Linked DNA regions of Oryzias latipes. The protein of the gene in region 1 interacts with the protein of each later gene in a pairwise test. Links are inferred from orthologs where the notes say so. Each region holds a gene or a part of one and is shown on either strand. Other genes may lie near its edges.

What was found.
Region 2: the proteins of cep76 (region 1) and nhlrc2 interact in binary tests that used the Homo sapiens proteins (3 or more experiments, as listed by UniProt). The two-hybrid records come from large-scale screens. The link is inferred for Oryzias latipes from reciprocal best matches to the Homo sapiens genes CEP76 and NHLRC2.
Region 3: the proteins of cep76 (region 1) and kiaa1143 interact in binary tests that used the Homo sapiens proteins (3 or more experiments, as listed by UniProt). The two-hybrid records come from large-scale screens. The link is inferred for Oryzias latipes from reciprocal best matches to the Homo sapiens genes CEP76 and KIAA1143.

The regions. Positions count from the first base shown.
Region 1 is NC_019874.2:5,536,130-5,542,349, forward strand, and holds the start of cep76 (centrosomal protein of 76 kDa), read left to right. Parts: upstream 1-1,913; 5' UTR 1,914-2,052; coding exon 2,053-2,115; intron 2,116-4,378; coding exon 4,379-4,528; intron 4,529-4,631; coding exon 4,632-4,716; intron 4,717-4,801; coding exon 4,802-5,017; intron 5,018-5,131; coding exon 5,132-5,314; intron 5,315-6,220. UniProt on the Homo sapiens protein: Centrosomal protein involved in regulation of centriole duplication. Required to limit centriole duplication to once per cell cycle by preventing centriole reduplication.
Region 2 is NC_019877.2:5,393,542-5,399,972, forward strand, and holds the start of nhlrc2 (NHL repeat-containing protein 2), read left to right. Parts: upstream 1-2,176; 5' UTR 2,177-2,213; coding exon 2,214-2,376; intron 2,377-4,450; coding exon 4,451-4,603; intron 4,604-6,431. Other genes in the region: dclre1a (DNA cross-link repair 1A protein), read right to left, coding at 1,233-1,659. UniProt on the Homo sapiens protein: Required for normal embryonic development.
Region 3 is NC_019874.2:9,744,190-9,749,571, forward strand, and holds kiaa1143 (uncharacterized protein KIAA1143 homolog), read right to left. Parts: upstream 3,337-5,382; 5' UTR 3,238-3,336; coding exon 3,124-3,237; intron 2,683-3,123; coding exon 2,544-2,682; intron 2,442-2,543; coding exon 2,218-2,441; 3' UTR 1,956-2,217; downstream 1-1,955. Other genes in the region: dolichyl-diphosphooligosaccharide--protein glycosyltransferase subunit STT3B-like, read left to right, coding at 1-185, 357-428; transmembrane protein 42, read left to right, coding at 3,595-3,735, 4,608-4,754, 4,820-4,960.

The sequences.
Region 1 (6,220 bases):
ACAGTCTGAAAGTCTGAGTGCTTGATTTTATACAGCCCAGTGATTAGGACACCTGATTCTCATCATTTGGTACATTTGGTAATACAGTGTATTTGTTTAGCCTGTACTGAGCCCTGAATTTATTTAGTCACACCATACTCTTCACTGGTTTACATGAAATGTAAGACATGAGCAAATTCCAGTTAACAGCCAGAATTTAAAATGATAAAAAAAATCTTCAAAGGTAGAGAATCTTTTTATTCTTTCTCTCTCTCTCTCATCCAGCCCTGTTTGTATTGTGTAATCCAGAGGCATCACATCTGGGCAGTCGGCATCATAGCTTCAACATTCCTCTTTATACTGTGCTAATATTGGTGGTTTATGCTTTTTATCTTTTGTGTTTTTATATGTGTATATATACATATTTTAACCTGTCAAGCACCTTGTGACTCCTGTCTGTGAAAGGTGCTATACAAATAAAATGTACTTACTAATATATTTGTAATATCGTTTGACCATCAACTACTCCAATGTGGTCAGACTGGAGGCCTGGAACTGGATTCTAAAAACAAATTCAGTTTTTAAAGAGGGTTTTCTGGTAATCAGGACTTTAGTTATTTTATGTCGTCTGCAGTGGGACATTCTGAGTGAAAGAATGAAGCTTGGATTTATGAATTTAGCGACTAGCTGCAGAAAATAGTGTCCCTTCCTCTTCTACGTGTGCTCTTTACCACCTGGGACGACGGATATTTTTCCTTGTATTTGTTTTTATACCTTGGTATTTAGTAAGTGGCTGCACAGTGGACCCTCTTGCCTCACAGCAGGAAGGCCCCCAGTTCAAAGCCCGGCTGGGGGACCTGAAACGGAACACCAACGGGGACCTTTCTGTTAGGAGTTTGCATGTTTTCCCTGTGCATGCGTGGGTTTTCTCCGGGGACTCTGGCTTCTTCCCACCGTCCAAAACATGCTTCATAGGTAAATTGGTTACTCTAAATTGTCCATAGGTGTCAATATGAGTGTGTGTGTGGGTGTGTGATATGTGGCCCTGAAACAGACTGGCGACCTGTCCAGGATGTCCACTGACTTCACCCATGAGTGGCCGGGATAGGCTCCAGCAGCACTGGAAAAGGACTAAATGGGTTTAGAAGATGAATGAATTGATGAAAGAAAGTATTTACTAAGTGGACTGTAAACAGATAAAATCCCTGCTTTGTTTCAGAGCAAGGTAACATGTTTACTAAAACATTAAACTGGAAGTATAAAAATACCTGCCCATGTAACAAATCCATTGCATATTTGCCATAATAATCTAAATGACATCCTTGAAATTGTTTTTTCATCATTTCTTACAACTGCGATCAACTGTACAAGTCTGTGGATTAATTGGGTTTAATTCTAACTTGCAGAGGTGTTGTGGTTTAGTACTTTCCAGCATTAACCTTACATGTTTTAAAGGTCATATTGTCTGGACATTGGACAGCTTCCTTCAACACCTTTCTATTTTTTCACTTTGGAAGCTACGTTCTGCCATGTTTAATATCTTTTTCTAGCAGAAAAAATAATGAAGGGTGGACATTCTCCGTCAAAGGTGTTAAGTTGAGCGCAGAATTCATCGTTCCACAAAGTATGAGAAGCTGTGCAGGTTCTGGAGCAGCATCAGCACCACACGTTGCATTAAGCTGGAGGTGCATTGTTTAAGGCTGGTTTTTAAATGTTTCGCTGACGATGGACCAATGGGATTCCTGAATATAATTCACAACATTTTTGGCTAAAAATCCCGAAAAAACAATATTAATTTCTGCATGATGTGACCTTATAAAACTGAAAATTTTGATGTACAAAACAATGATTACTTAGCTACGCGATAGAATGAGTCATTCCATTTTCTTCCTTTTCGTTCAGGCATTAACCTAGACGCCTTCCTCTGCAACTGTCTGGCTGTTGGGCTTGTCAGGACCCCGTCTCTTGTATGGACATAACAGTTTTAGATTTCCGCTGAATTCAAAAATTATGCTGCAGAGCTTGTTGTTGTAAACTTTTAATCATCTCGTAGGATCAGATTTTGCAGCTATAATGTCTTTACCTCCAGAAAAAACCTCCGAACTGAAGCAGATTATTCAGAGTCACCTGAAGAAGGTAAGAAAATTTAACGCGCTAGTGTTGTATCCTCTGTTTTCAAGAGTTTGCACTTTAGATTTACCGTCCTTTATGATTATTTTTTGTGCATGAATTCTTATAGCTGTTATGTGTTTTAAACCCCGACCACCCTTCTGACCAACAACAAACAACTTCATCAAATATTTAAGATGGCATTACTAGTAACTTTTCGAAGGAGGAATTTTTTTTCTTCAGATTCCCAAAGAAGGGTTGAATTAAAAGAGATAATCATAAAAGCTATGTCATTTCAAACACTACTCTCATCACTACAGCAGCCAGCTAAAAAGGCAATAACAGAGATCAATAATCATAAAAGTCAATGTTGGGATTGTGACCCAAGGCTACAGCTGTTGCGTTCGAGGATCATTAAGAACCAACATGTTTTATGAAGTTGGAAGTATATTTTTTAAGTTGATTAACCTTTTCTTAAACCTGAGTTTTTTTTAAATATATTGTAACGATCCAGCCAGACCGTCACTTAAGCGGGGTAGCGTAAACCAACTGCTCATGAGGGAGAACTGTCCGAGCCCCATATACCGCACGACCCCGGTTGGTCTCAGACAGGAATTAACACAAGCAGAGGCACAGTCACCTTTCGAGCATCAAGCCCTATTATTCCAACACACTCAAACAGTCTAACAGCATGGACTGTCGCTTCAGTGCACAACCCTCTGACTCAAGGTTTCACCCTAAAGCTCCCCACTTCCCATGAGCCTTAGGGGCTGAAGGCGGGGCCAACCCCTCAGCTCAACATACATTAGGGCTGCACGATATGAGGAAAACTTGCGATATGCGATATTAGTGATCAATATTGCGATAACGATAAATTTGCGGTAAATAAACAAATAGAAAAATAAACAAAAACATCATTCCCATTTCATTGCAACAGTTTAAAAATTACACTCCAAATGACCCTCATCGACATGGGGGACAAACATCTAACATAATAGGCCTCCATCTGATTGGTTAACAATGGAAAGGCGTCCATCTGATTAGTCAAAGCATAAAGGTATTTATTTGATTCGTTAAATGCTTCAAGCTGCTAGAAGATTGTTTTAACACATTTTGGGTTTGCGATTTATTGCGATATTCGCCGTCTTTTGTGATATGCATATTGCAGAGCTGGATATTGCGATAACGATAAATTTGCGGTATATTGTGCAGGCCTAACATACATCATTATCTTCATCTTCTATGTGACATTAAAGCCTGTGTGATTGTAAAAACCTGCGGCTCAAAAATCTAGTTACCATAATCTAAAGCTGTTAGAGGACCCACTCCAAAGAAAATGGTGTTTTTAACATGTTCTTGTAGCATTTTTCCGATGATTGTAGACATTTATAAAGACAATTAAGATTAAAATTGCATTTCTGAGTATCTCTTTTAGATAGATAGATAGATAGATAAATGACTTTGTTAATCCCACAATGGAGAAATTTTAATTATCTGTGGCAGCAAAAACGACATTCAGAAATAATCTATATAATACAACATCAAAAAAGGACATCAAAAATGACATTCATATTAAATTATTAAAAATGATTATTAAAATTATTGTGAAAATTATTATGACAATTATTATCAAAAATGAGATTCGTATTAAATATTAAATAAATAAATACAGCTTCAAAAGTGTAAAAAAAAACACGTGATCAACTGTATAAACCTGTATCATGTAAAACATTTTAACAAATTATTTTGAACTGATGAAAATAATACAGTTTGAAAATGGTTGTAGTTGAAGCTACAGGCTCCCTGCTCTGCTCTATTCTGATGCATTCACTGTCAGACAAACAGATCCATGTACGTCTTTGTTTTCCTCGTCTGAGCTGGAATCTGGCTTAGATCTGTACAGCAGGATAGCGCCGATATTGCTCGCCATCTTTGTTGCACCGCTAATGTTAGCTTGGGGGTGTGAGGGGACTGTAAGCTAGCAGGAGAGAATGTAATCATAGGGTTAATGGGAAATGATGGCAGGCTCACTCCACACCAGCAGTCCTGCCCACAACTTGGAGGTGAATTTCTAATGAACTCCTGCCGCTCTGCAGAAACTATGTCCTAACAAGATTAAAATACCACTGGAAACAATTTTACAATAGAGCAAAAGATGATTGGCGTAGATTTTTAAGGCACAGTCCCCATGCTTGGTCTAACTGCTGTCTGTTCAAACTGTCTGTTCCTCTTCCCTGCTGAGGTTAAGTTCGAGGAACTTCTAACACAACCTTTTATTTCTGTTCCTCAGATGAACATCCACGGGAAAATCCAAGAGGTGCTGGCGGAGACTGCAAGGGTGGATCCCGGCTCTGGACGTTTGTCGGAGGAGGATTTCAGACGTGCTCTACAGCGCAGAGGCATAATAGATGATGTGATGAAAGACCTCCGTTTCAGCCAGGTGTTCTCGCCTCTCACTGACAGATCACATGTTAGAAACGAAGAGAGCTGTCTCTATTCAGAAAAGACTGAGGAACTCTATCACTAACTGCCTGCCTTTGTAGGAAAAAGCAACAAAAACAGCATCAGGATTTCCATCTAAGCCTTTCAGTCATTATGGTGACAAAGAAATGACCGAGCTGAGACAGAGTAAGAGAAATTATGATGCGGTGCACAGTGTCGTGTTTGTGTCATACTTGTTTTAATTTTTCTTACTTCTTGCAAATCAACGTAGACCCATCAAGGCAGTACCTGCATCTCCAAGTTCTTGGTGGGAAGGCCTTTCTGGAGCACCTGCAGGAACCACAGCCGTTACCTGGTCAGGTGTCTTCTACGTTTACACTCTACCTACATTTCCGCGACCAGAGGTTTGGATCTAAGCCTGTGCCCTGTACCTGTGAACCAGACATGAGGGAAAACTTCCTCCTGGAACTCTGCAGGGACAATGCAGGTAGGAGGAAAGTAACTGTTTAGAGGTTAGTGAAGATGAGCTTGAACTTAGGTTCCAGGCTTAAAAAATACATCTCCTCCTTGAACCTAATCATGACTTCTTTTCTTGTTAAAGATGGAGGTAAAGTGATGGATGCAGCCTCTATGCTGTCTATATGCGACCCTATCCACTTTGTCCTGATCAAGACGGACATTTCTGGTGAGACGACGCTGGTGTCGTCCTATTTCCTGGATTGGAGGCCAGTTCTCAGCTCAACAAACAGCAAGACTTGTTTTGCTGTGGAGTTAATGGGAGTTGGTAAGCCACCCTGATTGTTATGGTCGGATAAGCAACCCCTACTTTTAAATAATATATTACCTTTGGCACACTAAAGAATGAATTTATTTTTAAATGAGTTAATTTTGTAGGTCATTTTCCTACCTGGAAGTAAAACGTCTCGATCTCTGCGGCTCCGCCTTTCTGTCCTTGTGGGTGCCGCCCATTTCATGACATCATCCTCGGCAGCATGTCTGCCTTTCACCCACAAAAACAAACAACATCTGAACTTTTGCAAAGATGGATGTTCATATTGTGGAGCAGGGCTGCTCATTCCTGGTCCTTTAGCTCTACCACCCTGTCTGTTTTCCAGATCTCCAAGCTCTGCTAGCTGCTGAATGAGGGTGTGTGTGTTAGCGTGGGGGTGGGTTGGCACCGCAGACTCTTCCTGGAAGGGGCTGTTCCTCACTTTGTAATGCTGCAATGTGAGGGTCCACCCATTTTTGTGGATTGGGAGGGGCTGGGGCTCAGAACGCAGGTTTTTAGAGGAATACTCAGAGATGTGTGAACGGATCACAATACTGCTTTGGGGTTGTTTTTTGTGAGGAATGAACATTATTATACATTTAAAAGCTTAAAAAGTTGATTCTGCTGGATACAGACCCTTTAAACCAGGGTTTCTCAAAGTTTTTGTAGCGGAGGGCCAAATGAAGAACTCTGCATTAGACTGGGGGCCAATTTTGGTTTAAAAAAATGGATAAACAGAAAAGGTTGTTTTTAATAACTTGGATGACCAAGTGTCATTGTACAGTTAACCAGGCCCAGGCTGTGCAGAGACTAATGCACGGAGCATCAGTCAAAACACTCTCAGCAAAGCGGGTTAAAGTTCTGCAGAACCTCCCAGCAATAGATTGTAGTCCAGCGACCTGATGGATCAGAGTGATGTGT
Region 2 (6,431 bases), on another chromosome or scaffold:
CCATTGCTGAGAGTTTGAAGAAGGGAGCTTGTAGCCCGCCCAGCATATTTTCTATGTTACACATACACTCTTTTTCAAACAGCTTTTTTGTTGGTCTGCTCCTGATTCACAACATCCAGTGGGTAACCCACATCTTTCATGAGGTGTACGAGTCAGAGAGGCTTCCGACTAACTGAAATAGAGCCGTTATCCTGCCCCTCTGGAAACCCAAGGGTGATTCCTCACTGTGGAATATCCTACAGACCCTTGGAGCACCACCCAAGATTGTTTCTCTACTCAGTCTGCTCTACAGCAACGCAGAGAGCAGTGTCCGTGTAAACGCCAAAGACTCAGATTGGTTTCCCATCTCCAGTGGCGTTCGCCAGGGCTGTGCGGCAGCTCCTCATCTTTTTGACCTCATCATGGATCAGCTGATGTCCCGGGCCCATGAGCAAGTCCATGAAGGGTCGCAATTACCATCTGACTGACCTGGAGTATGTATGCTGATGACACAATCCTGCTCAGCATATCCCTTAGCCGGCTAAAAAACGGTCTAAGCATTTACAGAAAAGAAGCCAAGAAAAGAGGCTTGGTTGTTGCCTTAGTTACGACTTGACTAAATGGAACTTTTATAAAACAACTAAAGACACTTAGAAAACAATGCAGTGACTCTTGAAACTAATGAGAACAAAATCGAACTTTTTCCAAATTTAGAAAAATGTTGAGTTATCTTCAATTTTTTTGTTTACTTTTTTTTAACAGATAACCCTTATAAAAACATAATATTTGGGGGGGGGACTCAAAACAAATAATTTATAGTAATATTTTATATTGCATGGGCCAAAAATAATTTTATTTAATGTACAGTATAGGTCTCAGTATTTATATATGATTTTTATATAAATATTCTATCCCTGCTGTTATTCTGCACCTTGTAAATGGGACCTAGGAACAAATTTGTTTCATAAACATGGTTGATGAGACAATAAAAAACTGCTTGATTAATTAAATCAAGTTTTTATTGTTGATCTTCAATCCTTTAAAGTTGTATCTTTCACATTATTCATATCAGATTGCACCTATGCTTTTATCTTAAAGGAATGACAACAGTTTGCCAATCTTCAACAATTATCCTAGATGTGTACGTTTGTTATAAGAGCACATATTATTGCAGAGGAAAACATGAACACGACAATCTAAGTGTTAGATCCATTCGGTCAGTTTGAGGGTGAGTTTTATCTGGATGTGTGTACCTTTGCATTTGTCCCTTGGAGTGTCCAGACATTCAGCGATATGCCATCTTTGGGTCTGCACGACCAAAATGCTGAATGGCATCTGGCAGACTGGACAGAAGTCTTCTGATGATGTTGGCTCCTCGACAACATTGTCGTTGCTTTTTTGTGTGGAGTCTTGCGTTTTGGATGCATTAAAGGGTAAATTGTGAGACTTTAAGCTGCTTCTGGCGTCTTCGTTACCGGTTGTGGTGCATGAATCCCTCCTTTCTGCTGCTTTGTTCAAACTCTTATCTGACTTAATTGAAACAGAAGTTTGCTTCTTAGTTTTCCTGGAGGTGCTTCTTGTTCTTCTTTTGGTCCCAGACGGTGAGTCGTTCCTTTTTCTTTTCTTCTCAAGGGGTCTGTACTCCCAAATGTCATTTTCAGAGTCGTCCTTCTGTGACATTTGGACAAGAGACAGTAACGCAAGCCTGTTATTACACAAGTCCTAACGTTTGGTAACATTCCGCGGCAAAGAAAATACTGAAAAACGAGTTTGTTCGTAAATATGATAAATGTTGTAAAAAAAATACTTGCGTAGATTGTTAAAAATACACGGTGTTACGTTTTCTCCACATATTTAGCTTAATTTGGATTTTTCAATATATTTCTGTTAGCATGACTTGCCGCCAAGGTGTGTTGATAAACTAAGTGAATGTAACTAGCTTAAAACGGTAACAGTTTCCAAAAGAGAACTATTTTTCTATGGTGTATTATTTACATAAAAAACATATACATATTTTTCCTCAAGTAATATTCCTATAAAGCAACCACAGATTAAAATATATTTAAATTTATATGTTTTTGCATTATTATTTTTCTTGTAAAAGTGCTGTTACGAATTTAAGTACTTGTATACGTAAATCACAGCCGAAGAACGAAAGGCGGAGTCTTTTGTGATTGGCTCGTCACTACCAAGCAACTGATGACGTGCAGACATTCCAAACGCCTTTTGAAAACATGGCGTCCAAGTGTAGCCTCTCCACTCTGTTTCCCATTCAGAGTCAGCTTGATTGTGACCTAGAAAACGCCACTACGCAAGAAGAAAAAGAGGAACTTGTTCACCAGTTTTTGGAAAGGGTAGACGAGAGGGAAGACACGAAGATTCCTGATTTCCAAACAGGTTAGACCCTCTAGCATCTTTTAACTTCCGCATAGCTCTGTGTTATTCTGTCAAAACACCTTCTCTAAAGTTTGCTAACTACATTTTACTACCATTTTAAATAATTGAGAACTGAACACACAGAAGGCACTTTCTGTTGTTGGATTCAACCATTTTTAAAATTTTCATTTTTATATCATTTTTCTCAGGTTTCCTGTCTTTTTAAGGTACAGATAACCATCTCCCCTCAACAGCAGCTGACAAAAGACTTTGGAAAACAGTTTACAATAAATATATGTTTTATACTAAAACATTGTAGCATTATAACTAACAGTTTGCTCTCAATTTTATTTACAACCTATGTTTTTTCAAGCATTTTTCTGCGAATCTGAGGTTTGTTTTGTTATCTTATTTAATAATTACCTCACCAAATAACATCACAACGATCCAAAGTAGACTAAAACAAAGTAGGCTGTTAAAGGTAAATTATTTTAAATGTATTAAACACAATGTATGTATTTATTCCTTTTAATGTTAAACCCACCAGTGGAAAAACTCTCCTGCCACAATTTAACCACAAATGCTCGTTGTTGACAGGCAAGTAAATGTTATTCCTACCTTTTGATGCATCATAGATAACAGCAGAACTGCATTAAATTATAATTTAAAGGGGAAAAAATTGTTTGTGAGTAGGAGTTTCTTTAAGCTAAGTTCAGTAAATCTCTCATCTTAGTTAGTATCCCACCTTACCAGTAGGGGGTGATATTTTTCACATACGAGACAAAATATTTAACTTCATTAAAAAACAATTATGTTTGAGGATAAAATATGTGATATCTTAAAAATTCTTGATATTGTCTAAAGCAGGCATTGTTTTTTCAACAAACCCTGTCCAGATATCTTTTGGTTGACACACCTGATCCAGGTAATCAGCAGTGGGGGGAGGGCAAGGTCCATCCCTGTAGTAATTGCTGCTTGGCTGTGTATAAAAAACTTGCAGTAGCACTTAATCAGGCATTTATGAAAACTAGTGTTGCGTCAAAAATGTAGCTTAGGAGGTATTTTGACCTAACTATCTTTGCAGAATTTAAACATTTAGAAAGTTCCGTCCTGAAATCCCAAACCATCATATTACCGCCACCATGTTTCACTGTTGGTTGGGTGTTAATTTCAAAAATTGTCAGCCTACATCTGATGTTACAATCTTTCAAAAAGATGAACTTTTGTCTCATTAATGACAATATTTGCAAACTTGTGCAATAACTTTGGTGAAGTTATACTGTATTTTAGGTCAGCAGTGCTTCTCTTCTTGGATGTTTGTCACATTGACGGTTTTCTTTCCTTTTGTTTTGTTAATTTATGGGGACTGCTTAGAACTAAGTTTGTTAATTAAATGCTGGGCAGGGCTCTGTTGTGACCTCCCGAGTGAGTCGTCATGTATTGGAGATATAGAGAAGGTTATTCTGTTTGTTTTGTCAATTCTGACAGATTTTAAGTCGGTCCAGTTTCTGGAAAAATGTGCTGCTTTTTAAAATATTTTTGCACATTTGACCCTCAAACAAAGCTCTTTTAAGTGATTTATTCCTCCCCCTTCATCTATTGGTTTGAGAACTTGAAGCCCAACTGAACACACAGAACTGCTCTGTTACATCAACTTATAGTTTCTCCACAAAGTTCCATGTTTAGATTGCTTTTTTTTTCACGATTTGTTATTGATATTTTTTGGTTGATACCAACAATTTCAGTTTAATACATTTTAGTTTCACAAATGTGCAAAAACAATTTAATAGAAGTAAGAGGCACATGTTTTTTATGGACTTTTAGTGTCAGCACTTATGTATTTTAAAATATTTTCTCGTTGTAACAATTGATGCATAGATTTGTAAAAAAAACTTTTTGCTTTATTTCACAACCCTCATATCTTCTTCAGTGTGTTTAAGAGTCTCTGTCATCTAGTTCGTAGAAAAAAAATGTGTTGTAAGAAAAAGAAATAGAAGAATTTTGTTGATTGGAGATTAAAAAGACATATGTTTGCACACAGATTGATACATTTAAAGGGTGGGTGCATTTCTGACCTGTTTTAGTTTTGTTCTAGGCTTAGAGTGGCTGAACACAGATGCGCCGCTGTCTCTAAATAAGGATCTGGCCGGGAAAGTGGTGCTGCTGGATTTCTTCACTTACTGCTGCATCAACTGCATGCATATCCTCCCTGACCTGCACCAATTGGAGAAGAGACACTCAACTCAAGGTCTGGGCAAATTGTTTGCATCCACTTCTTCTGGCCACAAAGGATTTTTTTTTATTTAAAAAAATAAATAAATCACATCATCTTTTCTTTTGGGGAAAAATAGTGTTTCTAAAAAGTTATGCTTTTTATTTTTTTATTTGAAACCCTTTTAAACAGACCAAGAGGAAAAACAGTTGAATTTTTTTAGCCATTTGGACCTTATCAGGTACATGAAATAAGTCATTATCTACAACAGGCAGTAAAAGCTTGAAATTAAAAGATTAGCTGCATTTGAAGAATAATGTCTTTTCATCGCCCAGTACTCCCCTGCTTTTCAGGATTTAACAATAAGCCATCACAATCATAATTGCTATGCATAGTTGAAAGATAAACAGTGTCAAATATGCTTTTATTTTGTAGAGGTTTGGTTTCAAATTTGGATTGGCAAACTGTGCTTTGCTCCGTTTTAATAAAGGTTTCTTTAAACTCATTAAAATAGATTTTAATTAAAGATGTTTAGCTCCTACAATAGAAAAAAAAACATTTAAATGTGTTTAAATCTTAATGAAGCTGCATCATTGTACTGACACATTGATAGATTGGCCTGCACATTATTTTTTTTTTTTGTATTTTGATGAAATCTGGGGCTCATTGAGAGCGGCAGCAGCAGTCTGGCAGGTGTTACAGAGTAAAGGCAGCTCGAGTGCGGCGTTGTGTCACACTGCATCAGGGGAGCTGGGAAGCGAAACTAGAGTATAACCTCCTTCTGCTTCTCTTCCAAGTGCAGGAAGGTCCTTATCTCCTCTGTAAAAAGACAGCAGCTAAAAATAAGCTCAAGCTGCACTGTAAGTGACTACAATGACTTTGTGCTGCTGTAGTTGTTATCACTGCACTGTAATCGCCTCTTTAGCAGCGTTATTTCATTCAATTAATCACAAACTGATACTGCAATTCTTTCTGTTTTTATAATCAGATCCACTTTTTGATAACAAGAGAAAACGACACATTTTCTAAACTCTTTTCATTGTTCGGTCTTTGCTGAAGTCCTTTTTAGTTGACGGTCACACGGATGCTGCCGCACAGCAGCACACCCGCCTTATCTTGGCTCTGCTATGGGTACAATGTGTTTGCTGCTCTGGCTTCTGAGGTGTGGGGGCCGTCCTGTCAGGTCACTCCTGCAGAACGACCCCGCCGTCACGACAGTCTGCGCCGCAGTCGACTGGCAGAGGTTTTGAGGGCTGAAGCAAACTACAATTTTTCAAATGTAATTATGGAAGCGACTGTTCGCCTGGGTTGAAAACGTGGAGCACTCCAGCAATCACTTTTTGTGGTTGGTTGCACATAAATCCATGCGAATAACATCGGCCTTTATTTATTTTTCTGTCTGTCCAACTGTTTGTCTATTATTGTGGTTGTTTATCTGTTTATTTGTTTGTCTTCTTGGTTTTTATTTTTCTTTATTTGTCTCTTTGTCTGTTTGTCTTGTGTTTATTAGTCTAGTCTTTATTTGTCTATTTATTATTTGTTTCTTTGTTGTTTATTTGTAAGTCCTCTTTTATGTTTATTCATTTTAATTGTTTATTTGTATATTTTTCTATTAGTCTATTCATTTTTTGTCTATTCGTTTGTCTTTTTAATTGTTTATTTGTCTATTTATTTGTTTATTTGTATGTATGTACCGGTAAATATGCTGGATTATATACATGATGCTATAGTTTACATTCCTAAATTGTCCCGAGATTACAGAGGATCCATGGATTACATAGACACAATAATTGTTGTACAAGAACAGTTTTTGCAGGATAATGCTCATAATTTTACTTCCTAATCCCCCAAACATCTCACGGTC
Region 3 (5,382 bases), about 4.2 Mb from region 1:
TTGACCGGACAAGAAATGCAGAGATTGGCAACAAGGACATTAAGCTTAAGCACCTGGAGGAGGCCTTCACATCAGAGCACTGGTTGGTCAGAATTTATAAGGTCAAGAAGCTGGAGAACAGGGACCGGATGGAGAACAGGCTGCGCAGCACGGACTCCAGCCGCCAGAAGTTCACATCAAAGAAGGTAGGCTCTCCCAAAACCCTTCATGTAATCGGTTGATTCCTTCTGCTGGCTGTTATTCTCCAGTCAAGATCAATTGAAATTTCCACTGTGATCTGGAGCTTTCTGAACAAACGAATTTTCAGCAGTGAGTCTCTTGAGAAGTACTTATGTGTTTCTTCTGTTCCCCTAAAGACGGCCAAGAGGAAGCGTGGGTATGTCAAGAACAAGCTGGTCCTAAGGAAAGGCAAGACCAAGTCCTTATAAACTCCATCCACTCATCAGGCTGTGGACTGGGGTTTCAACAAACATCACAGCACCATCACACGAGGAAGGCTGTTTAGACCACTCGCACCTTCAGCTCCATCAGCCCACAAGACCTCTGAGCTGAGGACTGACGCCCCCCTCGACAAACTGCCACTGTTTTCTTTTTGTACTTGAACATATTTGGATGTGATGGGAGCTGTCCTGCATCCAGAACTTCTCTTAAATGTCTTTCACCTCGATTGCAGAACCGTGTCTGAACCTGAACCACACAGCCCCTTTCCTGTTCGTGGACCAGCAGGTCTAGCTTCTGCAGGACTGATGAGCTGCACCTCATTACATAATTCTCCACCAAAGATTTCCTTATGGAAGCATTTGTTCAAGGTTGCTATGGTTACTGCTTGCCCTCAGCAAAAAAACACAAAGCTGGCATTCAACAGACCAGCATGCATTTAACGCCCTTTCTGAGCATTTTTAAGTCTGTGTTTATGCCTGATGCATTCACACTCACAGCTGGTTCAACCTCACTGTTTAGTTCAAGCTTACTCACATGCAGACAAACACTACACACATGCAGACAAACACTACACACATGTTCAAACTCTGCACGGGATGCAGTCTGCTGGCCTTGGCGCCGGCTCCAGATCCGTCTCTCAGATACGAGGGACCTGGATACCTGAAGTTGGGTTTCCTGCCTGTCTGGATGTTCTCTTTAAATGTTACAGCAATTACTAACATTTTCCCAAGATCACAATCGGAGCAAAAATCACTTGAAGTTTTCAGGAAAATTTTGCATCCACTACAGTTTAAAATCCTGACTGCAGCTCAGAGCAGGCCTGGCGCCATTGATGTCTGCATGCAGCCTCCTGCTCGTGGATCCTCAGGAAGTGTCATCAGGCTCTGGTGTTTGTCACAGCAGCTGATACTCTGGTGAACCCAGCTGCAGCAGCGTTACACAACAACAAACATTTTCCAGTAAATTTTCCACAGAAACTGTTTGGTTTGTGCAAACTAACTCCTGTTGCATTTAAGTGCACCCAGCATCAGAACGCTCCCAAAACGGGGTTCTGAAGGCTGTGTGGGCCAGAGGCTGCAGAGTCCAATGATCCGGTCTTCGATCTGGTTGTAATTTCATCCGTTCAACACTCTTCCTTTGACTGTGAGGATCTGGATGCAGGTGTGATGGAAACATGCCTTTTTGAATAAAGAGGTTTAAATATGTGGATTCCTGTTTGTACCTAACAGTTCCAGCTCTTTGACGTGTCTGGGGCCACACGCTGTAGATGCATTACAAAGACCATTCAACAAGCAGCATCAGAAACTTTAGCTCAGCTTTATGATGATTCATATCTTCTCTCTGTGAGAAGCTGCTTGTAGAAACAGATCAGGTCTTCAGAGTCTGTTTTAAAGAACGGCTGGTGTCACAGGAATGAGGTTTCTGGAGCTAGGCCGGTTTGAAGAAGACCTCAGCAATGAGATGATGCTGCTGCGCTATCCAGGCTTTTCCATGAGTCAGAAAAAACCAGTGAGTCCGATCATTCAAATGTTTAATGCTAAACGGGGAAAAAACAGTAAAACTCTGAACATTTTCACAAAACGGCAGCGTTGATGCTAACTTTAAAAAGGTTTCAGTTTTCTTGCCTTGGGGACAGGGCAGAGGGTTGGACGAGTCCTGATTGGTCCATCATGCAGCCTCTGGTTTGGTTCTTCGGATTCTGGTATTCAGGTATGCGGTGACTGGAAACCAACAGCCAGGAAGTGGAGGACCAGAACCCAACAGTCTGTTTAACATTTAGTCTTCCTCGTCTTCATCATCCCCTCCAAATGAAAGAAGGCTGATATTTTTTATTTTCTTTCCTGCTTTCTTTTCAACCCCTTCCCTTTCTCCTCCCTCCTCCTCCTCATCCTCCTTCTTCTTCTTCTTCTTGCTGGAGCTGGCAGAGATACCCTGGAATTTCTCTGCAGAAGAGCGCTTGGCTGGTTTCTTGAAGAGGATTTTACCGTCTGATTTTTCATCTGTGGGGGGCAATTGAGGGTAGAGGGTGTGGTGCACAGGTAAAGAAATTAGGGTGTTGGCTTCAACTCAGAAGGAGAAATTTTTTTTTTTTTTTTTTTTACCTTTTTCTGCTGCACCTCCAGCTTTTATATCCTTGATCATCTCTGCAGACAGGTCTCCGTCTGTCAGAACAACAACTTGTGGTTGTTCATCCTCTCGATCACTGCCGCTGTCATCCTCAGGTGTGGGAATCACCTGGCGCTGAGGAGCAGAACAAGATTTTGACTGATGGGACATTCGTTTCAAAGGATTTACTCTTTTGGTCAAACAGTGCAGGTGTTGCAGGTCCGAATCCCCTTCATAGCAGTGTGGATGACGCTGAGTTCTACACAACAGCATCATCAGAAGGATGAGCGGATCACCAACTGGGCCTCCTGGGCTGATGTTGGCTTCACCAATCTGTGTATGTGACTATGAATCTGTCTATGTATGTCTATGTGTGTCTGTGACTGAAAATACTGGAAATGAGGAGCATATTAAACTTCAATCGTCGACGCAGAGGCGATTTCTGTCCTCGTGAATCTACGTCAAGGCTTTTCAATGGACTAAACGGATAAAACCCAAAGTGAATTCACGGCTTTGTTGTTGTAGGACAGAAGCGTTTCCGGTGTCGTTTCAGCTCGTGGAACCGCCTCTCGGTACCTTGGTGTCCACGTTCGGCCCCTCCTTGTATCCAACGTCCGTTTTGAACTTCTTCAGGAAGGTGGGTTCTGCCGGCTTCACCCACGAAACCCCGCCGCTCCTCTTTTTATCCATCCTCAATGAGACGCTTCCAAAGCTTCTACCCACGGAAACATCATCATGAAGCAGCCCCTCGTGACGGTGAGGGCAGCTCTAACTGGTGGAATTGAGTACGAACTCTTCCGGGTAAATATGGCACTTCAGAATAAAAGAGTTACGTGGATGTTTTTTGTTTCCTTTCATGGATTTTCAGTAAGGATTTTTTTCATTGGGACCTAACAAACAGTGAATGTTTTAAGCCCACAAATGTAAGATCATTTTTGGTTTTGAGTGTGTTATTGATGAGCTTCTGGCTCTTATTTTGAAATGTCACCATCACCGGAAGCTCGACCCTGCTGTCAACGGAAGTCGGTCTCCTGCTCTGCTTTCATTATGTCTGGTGGGACTCTGTCCGCGCTGACGGCCGGTCTCCTGGCTGCTGCCGCCTCTCTGGCTGCCAAGTTGTCCCTGGGGGGGGACCTCCTGAAGCTGTGCGAGGCCGACGTCCCCGGGGGGGCCGCATGTAGCCAATGGGTAACAGCAAACAGAAAATGAATTGATGTTTGAAAGAGGTGAATGGCCCTAAAGTAGGGACCGCACAAGCCACAACTTTCTGTGGTCCAGTCAGAGATACCACAAACGATGGAGCTTCCAATTCCGAACACAGATAATAAACACAATAGCCCAATAGACCTCAAGCTCAGCAAGTTAATATTTTAGATATTGCTGATGATGGTCTTGTTTGTTTGTGGATACAAAACTTGGTAATCACAACACTACATCTTCCATGTCTGTACTCTGACTAAACACCATCAATTTTTCACAGGACATTATTGAAGTGATGCTGCAATTTTTAATATTTTTCAGAAGATCGTTCATTTTATGTTAGATGCTTTACGTCTGCCGAGTGCAGTTTAATATTCTGTATTAAGGGTTTGAACCTGTGACCTCTCCTTACTGCGGAGGTGTGGGATTCGGGTCTGCAATGATGAACGTCACACAAAATTTCCTCAAAGTTCAGGGGGTGGTTCTGGCGCCCTAGTTTATCTTTTAGCTTTCACGAATCTGTGAAATCGATTAAAAGTCATGAGAAAGCTGCCGTTGGCTCACAAATGTCCACTAAGTCCACTGTACCTTGTTCTAAATCGAAATCAGAGTATAACTTATGTCAGTAAGCACCACGACACATATATCAACACTGTAGATTTTCCAATTCCAAAACCAAGTTCTTCAATGGTGAAGTAAACGGCATGCACAGCGACACCCTTTGTGGTACCTACCTAAAGTGTAGCCGTCAGGACTGAGCATAGATGACCAAAAGTGTCGTCATTTAGATGTTGGGCTGTTTTATTTCTTTTTTTGCTTTGTAAGCACAGAGTCATGGTGGCTTCCTGCTGTCCCGGCAGATCCATGTTCTGCTGCGGCTGCTGTGTGGTGGCCTGATGCTCAGCTGCAACGCTCTGATGTGGACCTTCTTCTCCAGAGCCCTCCGTCACTCCTCCTCCACAGCCAGGACCACCCTCACCACCACCGGCTCCAGCTTCATCTTTTCTGTGAGCACCTCGCTTCTCCTCATTGCCGTTGTGATCACGCAGTGACCCTGAATGTCCGGCTGCAGGGGATCCTGGGGCGGCTGATGTTTGGGGAGAACCACGGGCCTTTGTGGTGGACAGGCATCAGCCTCACTCTGTGTGGACTGCTGCTGCTTCACGGAACCGCTCAGATGCCGCCGGTAGACCGCAGCTCCAAGGATAAGTGAGGCGCCAGACCTTCACCGAAGCAGAGAAGTGACCGATAGTCTTCGGAGGACGGCTCACTACTGCGGTTGTCAGGATCCTTTGGTCCTACACCAAAGCTTTGAAAACAATCTATAGTGGCAGAGATGAACCACTTGGTGACAGAAAACTGTTTTTTCCACGAGGTGGTTAAGTAAGTTAGGGTGTGCTGGTTTAAATAAATACTTGGGACTGGTTTGAAACTTTAGCTGTTTTTTGTCTGAAGCACTTTGATGGTACATGCAGTTCACAAGGCTTCAAAGCTTCATGGATGCTGGGAACTGTGGTCTGTGATTAGCCACCTCTTGGAGCGTCCTCTCATCTCAGACCAGCAGGAGAATCTCCACCACTGTTTAAGAACTAAGAAACGTGAAGAGACTTGAGTCGAGGACATTTTTGTTTCAAA